Linked DNA regions of Xenopus tropicalis. The main gene of each other region encodes a partner of the protein of the gene in region 2 in a complex. Links are inferred from orthologs where the notes say so. Each region holds a gene or a part of one and is shown on either strand. Other genes may lie near its edges.

Region 1 (3,752 bases), on a different chromosome or scaffold from region 2:
GGAGATGTCCATACCAATGCTGAAAATCAGAGATTAGATTGGAGACCTGATATGCTTTTATTCTTTTAATATATATAATACTCAAATGAACAGGAAATTAATTACGCCAATGCAAACAGAAACCTTTGATGATATGGCCCCTTACTGAAATGCTTAAGGGCACTTATACAATGGTGTTTAAATGAAATGCAAGCTACTAAAATCCACGTATATGTGTTATGTTCAGCAAGCATTTCTCTATTTTAAATATATTATGAAAGTGTTCCAATACATAAAATGCAGCATATTATTTAAAAAATAGTTTTCTACAACACAGACATGAATCTTAGGCATAATCAGGCAGAATAAAACAGAATCAGTAAGTGTACAAATCTCTGTCTCAAATGCGCTTTAGAACACACAAAAAAAGCCTGTGTGTAGTGTGTAGCCCTGAAGCTGTTCAGCATGGCAACAAAGGTCTGCACAACTGCTGCTCTAAGCCTATTCATATAAGACTATTATGAATAATAAGTGGGGCATGCTTATAGGAAGACTTCAAGGAAGAATGAATGCAGACAGGCTATAAAACCTACAATGGTTAATCTGACTTTTGAACTGAACTTCAGTCAAAAACAATGTATTAATCAAAGTGCCATAGTAGATAGAATTGGAATATTGATAATCACATTACTGCCACTAATAAAGTCAGACAGCGTGTGCTTTTCTTCTTTTTCATCAGCCTTTAGAATGTTAGAAGCAGCAACCAACAAACTGCTAACCAGTGCCTTGCACTACCTCTGGCATCAAAATGTTCAAAATCAGTACTTTACAGATATGTTTAAAACTAATAAATGTGTGTTGGCAGAGGGTATTATATGACTGAATCCTGCAAGCTTCAATTCTTTCACATGTTTGATGTACTATGTGCTGAATGCATCATTTTGTATCTTTGCCACCAAATGCAAAACTCTGCTTCTTTGTTAATACTGAAAACTTGTCATAAAAGTGAGGTAGCACTAATCATACTGCATTGCCAGTATAAAAAGAGACAAGCATATACAAATTTTGCACCAATACAATGTGCAATATGCTGCAGGCAGAAATTGCTAAGTTTAAAATAACCCAGTGGAGTGAATGAATAAGGCATATTTTTATGCCAATATTATACAAGAAAAGAACATTTGTAATCGATCTGCAGAAAACCTTTGCATAAAACATAAATCAAATAAAAATATACCCCAAAATCCATCAAAATAGACGCATGATTTCTGCCTAGGAAGCAGATAGTTTAATTAAAAAGGAAGAATTATGATCTGCACCAAACCCAAAAATTATTAAACATAGTTAGCAGCATAAATATTCTCATTAAGAGAGTTTTACTACACAAACTGCCAGTATTATAGCAATAATAAGAACTGCACTGAAAACCACCCCAGCTAAAACTTTGTTGAGGTCACATATAGATTTATGATCATCCAGGGAAATAATCCCAGGAGAAGCCCCAGCACTCATAGTGGATTTAAGTTCAGCTCCTGGATCCTGTTTAGCTTCCACAGTCCACTGAGGTACATTGACCTTCATTTCCATTTCATACATCATTTCATCCATAAGATTGATCTCATCCTCTAGGTCCTTGAGGTCCATCACATCTATATTGTGCTCAGCATCATATCTCATGTTCTGCACACTCATAGCCCTGGCAGCCACACCAGAGGTTCCACCACTCATGCCAGTCTGAATAAGGTGTTTCTTGGGGATGTTAAGAGGAAATTCCTGACCTAGCACCAGAGCTCGCCTCATATCTGTTTCCAGAATGTCCATGCAGGTAGTGAAAATAACCCATAGCCTCTCAAATTCAGCCTTGTCTTCTTTGGTTAATCTATGGTCTTTGAGAGTGCTGGTAAGTTTGTTTCTGTTGGCCACAGCTAGTTCTTGTGCTTTCTGCCTGGTCTTCTTCAATTCTTCCCGAAGGTTTTGTGAGTCTGATGTGCCACCTATGGTGAGCACCAGATGCCTGTAGCATGCAGTTACCTTGTTCAGAGCATCCAGCAGTGCCTTGCATTCCTCCTTCAGCATCTCCAGCTTGCTTTCTTCCAAAACCCCTTAAAACCCCAAATACTGCCAATAATGATACTTTTTTTAACCCTAGTTCAGGATATGCAGACCAGCAATTAGCTGCAGTTCCACATTTCGTTTCATTTATCATCGATAATAGAGAACTGTGTTTGTCCTACTCCGGCTCCTCCATGGTACCAGGGTGCAAAATAAAATAATCAGTGGACTCCAATCCTGAGGCTATAACAAGCTGTCAACCAATCAGGAATTATCTGCACAACCTGTGCATAGTGTAAGTGAAATCCATATCAAGCAGTTGAAAATTTCCTTAGCAGGCGTATTAATGCTGGATAAAAGTTGAAAAAACTGCTATTGTAGCGACAGTTTAAAGATATTGTAAACTGCTCTTCCACAACAGCGCTGTGAATTCCAGCAGGGAGCTGTCCGAACGCGTCCTCCTGCTCTCCCTGTGCAGCTCATTCTGCCCATCATCTACACGAGTCACGTGAGCAAACCTCAAAGGCTTGTTATATCAGTGAGGTATTTGGCCGGTGTACACTGACATCATTAATAAGGGCAAGTTCGATAATATTATCAAAGTGGTAGAGAAGAATGTTATACAGCTTGTTCTAATGCAAATTAACTTAACAACAGCCAGTCTAAAATAAACCAGGAATGCTTACAAATCACAGTTCGACAACGGCTTAAATACAGACAGCGCGTTACATTAATATTTTCTTTCCAGCACATAAAATGGCCGCTCTGTCTTGCAGTTCAGGTGACGATTTCCACAGCTCGGCAATTGGCACGCTATGGTTGTAATACACCCACCTCTTAGCTGTACTTCGATTGGCCGTAGATAGCGTCGGTAGGAAAGGGAAGGGTGCCCATTGGCTGAAAGCTGTGTTGTTTCTTTGCAGCCCTGGTCTATGCTTAAGGAAGCTGGGTGGAGAGGAGCTGCTCTCGGGCACTGGGCAAGAAATAAGGAGCTTATCGTTCTAAGTGAGTAGACGCTGTGCGCAGCAAACTATATTTCTATTTACATAAATCCTCCTGATATATTAAACTGTTAGGCCAGGCACCGAAGGGCAGCTGATTTGCAAGTAGAGTGGTATACAGCATGTCTGTGTGGTATGCTTCTTAAAACAGAGTAGGTATTGCACCCGGCATCTATTGAGATATTAGTTTAGTATGACTTCCAGCAATCTCAGGCTGTATGTCGGTAACCTTTGCAGTCGCCCTTTACTGTTTACATATAGCATTGTGAAAAGGGATTTACTGTAACAACAGCAAAGCTTTAGTCTCTGTGAAAAAGAAAAGTATATCCACATGAATGCACATTGCAATAGAAACCTGTCCACTTTAACAGCAATAAAAGTGTAAAAGCAATGGCAGGCACCCAAAAGCCTAACTCTAGTTCCATGAATAAGGGTTTGTATGTTTTGGTGTCAAATTGTCTTTCCACAAGCCAGATTTAAGAATCTGAAGTATTGTTTAACAATTACCCAGATCGGTCAGAACAGCTTTCCACAATTTGAAATTGGTGTACATTTTCTGGTGTCACTGACAGCATTTTGTTGGTGTTACTATCAAATTATGAAACTTGGATTTAAAGGAGAAGGAAACTGAAAATCACAGAGTGTTCCAGTTAGCAAGACTTTAGGTTGTGACCTACTATCCCAGGCCTCTTCTTTTAAAAGTTCATTGGCCTTGTATGC
Region 2 (3,652 bases):
CCCCTGGGTAAGTGAATCCAATCTCCCCCCAGTACTTACCCAGGTACAGAGCTCTGATTCTCTGTACTTCCTGCTCCTGGGCTGCTCTCTTTCCCATGGTCAGGCAGGAACCTCCCCTGGGTAAGTGAATCCAATCTCCCCCCAGTACTTACCCAGGTACAGAGCTCTGATTCTCTGTACTTCCTGCTCCTGGGCTGCTCTCTTTCCCATGGTCAGGCAGGAACCTCCCCCTGGGTAAGTGAATCCAATCTCCCCCCAGTACTTACCCAGGTACAGAGCTCTGATTCTCTGTACTTCCTGCTCCTGGGCTGCTCTCTTTCCCATGGTCAGGCAGGAACCCCCCCTGGGTAAGTGAATCCAATCTCCCCCCAGTACTTACCCAGGTACAGAGCTCTGATTCTCTGTACTTCCTGCTCCTGGGCTGCTCTCTTTCCCATGGTCAGACAGGAACCCGCCCCCTGGGTAAGTGAATCCAATCTCCCCCCAGTACTTACCCAGGTACAGAGCTCTGATTCTCTGTACTTCCTGCTCCTGGGCTGCTCTCTTTCCCATGGTCAGGCAGGAACCTCCCCCTGGGTAAGTGAATCCAATCTCCCCCCAGTACTTACCCAGGTACAGAGCTCTGATTCTCTGTACTTCCTGCTCCTGGGCTGCTCTCTTTCCCATGGTCAGGCAGGAACCTCCCCTGGGTAAGTGAATCCAATCTCCCCCCAGTACTTACCCAGGTACAGAGCTCTGATTCTCTGTACTTCCTGCTCCTGGGCTGCTCTCTTTCCCATGGTCAGGCAGGAACCTCCCCCTGGGTAAGTGAATCCAATCTCCCCCCAGTACTTACCCAGGTACAGAGCTCTGATTCTCTGTACTTCCTGCTCCTGGGCTGCTCTCTTTCCCATGGTCAGGCAGGAACCCCCCCCTGGGTAAGTGAATCCAATCTCCCCCCAGTACTTACCCAGGTACAGAGCTCTGATTCTCTGTACTTCCTGCTCCTGGGCTGCTCTCTTTCCCATGGTCAGACAGGAACCTCCCCCTGGGTAAGTGAATCCAATCTCCCCCCAGTACTTACCCAGGTACAGAGCTCTGATTCTCTGTACTTCCTGCTCCTGGGCTGCTCTCTTTCCCATGGTCAGGCAGGAACCTCCCCCTGGGTAAGTGAATCCAATCTCCCCCCAGTACTTACCCAGGTACAGAGCTCTGATTCTCTGTACTTCCTGCTCCTGGGCTGCTCTCTTTCCCATGGTCAGGCAGGAACCTCCCCCTGGGTAAGTGAATCCAATCTCCCCCCAGTACTTACCCAGGTACAGAGCACACTCAGATCTGTATCTGGATCTCTTTCAGGGTGGAGCTGCCTACAAAGCTGCGGGTGGAGCGCTGGGCCTTTAATTTCAGTGAACTGATCCGGGACCCTAAGGGTCGACAGAGCTTTCAGCTTTTCCTCAAGAAGGAATTCAGCGGTAAGTCTAAATGCCCCCGGGGGGGGGGGGGGGTATATTGCTTTATTAGCAGGGCCACCATCCTGCTTAGCCTGGTGCAATCTGGTAGCCCACCAGTCACATGTAGCCTGGGGCATTGGGCCGGGCCAACAAGTAAAATGGGCCTGTAGTGAAAAAAATGGCCGACATGCTAGGCCTGCCCAGGCCCCACCCATTCCACTGCAAGTCCCGCCTTTTGCATTCCTTGGTTTCCCAGGCCCCCCTTGCCACAGGGCAACTGGATTCCCTCCGACAGTGGCCCTGTTTATTAGTGCCCGTAACCTGCCCATTCTGTGCCCTAACGCCAGCCGTGCCCATAACCCGCCCATTCTGTGCCCTAACGCCAGCCGTGCCCGTAACCTGCCCATTCTGTGCCCTAACGCCAGCCGTGCCCGTAACCTGCCCATTCTGTACCCTAACGCCAGCCGTGCCCGTAACCTGCCCATTCTGTACCCTAACGCCAGCCGCTCCCGTAACCCGCCCATTCTGTGCCCTAATGCCAGCCGTGCACGTAACCTGCCCATTCTGTGCCCTAACGCCAGCCGTGCCCGTAACCTGCCCATTCTGTGCCCTAATGCCAGCCGCAACCGTAACCCGCCCATTCTGTGCCCTAATGCCAGCCGTGCCCGTAACCTGCCCATTCTGTGCCCTAACGCCAGCCGCGTCCGTAACCCGCCCATTCTGTGCCCTAACGCCAGCCGCTCCCGTAACCCACCCATTCTGTGCCCTAACGCCAGCTGTACCCGTAACCTGCCCATTCTGTGCCCTAACGCCAGCCGTGCGCGTAACCTGCCCATTCTGTGCCCTAACGCCAGCCGTGCGCGTAACCTGCCCATTCTGTGCCCTAACGCCAGCCGTAACCTGCCCATTCTGTGCCCTAACACCAGCCGTAACCTGCCCATTCTGTGCCCTAACGCCAGCCGTGCCCGTAACCTGCCCATTCTGTGCCCTAACACCAGCCGTGCCCGTAACCTGCCCATTCTGTGCCCTAACGCCAGCCGTGCCCGTAACCTGCCCATTCTGTGCCCTAACGCCAGCCGTGCCCGTAACCTGCCCATTCTGTGCCCTAACGCCAGCCGCGCCCGTAACCTGCCCATTCTGTGCCCTAACGCCAGCCGTGCCCGTAACCTGCCCATTCTGTGCCCTAACGCCATCCGTGCCCGTAACCTGCCCATTCTGTGCCCTAACGCCAGCCGTAACCTGCCCATTCTGTGCCCTAACGCCAGCCGTAACCTGCCCATTCTGTGCCCTAACGCCAGCCGTGCCCGTAACCTGCCCATTCTGTGCCCTAACGCCAGCCGCGCCCGTAACCTGCCCATTCTGTGCCCTAACGCCAGCCGTGCCCGTAACCTGCCCATTCTGTGCCCTAACGCCATCCGTGCCCGTAACCTGCCCATTCTGTGCCCTAACGCCAGCCGTAACCTGCCCATTCTGTGCCCTAACACCAGCCGTAACCTGCCCATTCTGTGCCCTAACGCCAGCCGTAACCTGCCCATTCTGTGCCCTAACGCCAGCCGTGCCCGTAACCTGCCCATTCTGTGCCCTAACACCAGCCGTGCCCGTAACCTGCCCATTCTGTGCCCTAACGCCAGCCGTGCCCGTAACCTGCCCATTCTGTGCCCTAACGCCAGCCGTGCCCGTAACCTGCCCATTCTGTGCCCTAACGCCAGCCGCGCCCGTAACCTGCCCATTCTGTGCCCTAACGCCAGCCGCGCCCGTAACCTGCCCATTCTGTGCCCTAACGCCAGCCGTAACCTGCCCATTCTGTGCCCTAACGCCAGCCGTAACCTGCCCATTCTGTGCCCTAACGCCAGCCGTAACCTGCCCATTCTGTGCCCTAACGCCAGCCGTAACCTGCCCATTCTGTGCCCTAACGCCAGCCGTGCCCGTAACCTGCCCATTCTGTGCCCTAACGCCAGCCGTGCCCATAACCTGCCCATTCTGTGCCCTAGGGGAGAACATGAGTTTCTGGGAGGCCTGTGAAGACCTGAAGTACGGAGACCAGTCGAAGGTGAAGGAGAAGGCGGAGGAGATCTACAAGTAAGCGCCTTCTAGTTTGGTTTAGCTTCCCCTTTCTTCCTTTTCACTTACAGTCTGTCCTTGGCCTGGTTACTGGGGCGAATGGGACCCTAGCAACCACACCAAACCAGCTATTCAAAAATTAAAGTTCGCTTTTATGCTAT

What was found. The genes of interacting proteins can lie anywhere in the genome.
Region 1: regulator of G-protein signaling 9 (region 2) and rgs9bp share a complex: the UniProt entries of both Homo sapiens proteins name them as parts of the RGS9-1-Gbeta5 complex. The link is inferred for Xenopus tropicalis from reciprocal best matches to the Homo sapiens genes RGS9 and RGS9BP.

Annotation. Positions count from the first base shown.
Region 1 is NC_030680.2:69,372,598-69,376,349, forward strand, and holds the start of rgs9bp (regulator of G-protein signaling 9-binding protein), read right to left. Parts: upstream 2,787-3,752; 5' UTR 2,056-2,786; coding exon 1,345-2,055; 3' UTR 1-1,344. UniProt on the Homo sapiens protein: Regulator of G protein-coupled receptor (GPCR) signaling in phototransduction. Participates in the recovery phase of visual transduction via its interaction with RGS9-1 isoform.
Region 2 is NC_030686.2:50,719,659-50,723,310, forward strand, and holds part of regulator of G-protein signaling 9, read left to right. Parts: intron 1-1,335; coding exon 1,336-1,451; intron 1,452-3,421; coding exon 3,422-3,509; intron 3,510-3,652. UniProt on the Homo sapiens protein: Inhibits signal transduction by increasing the GTPase activity of G protein alpha subunits thereby driving them into their inactive GDP-bound form. Binds to GNAT1. Involved in phototransduction; key element in the recovery phase of visual transduction.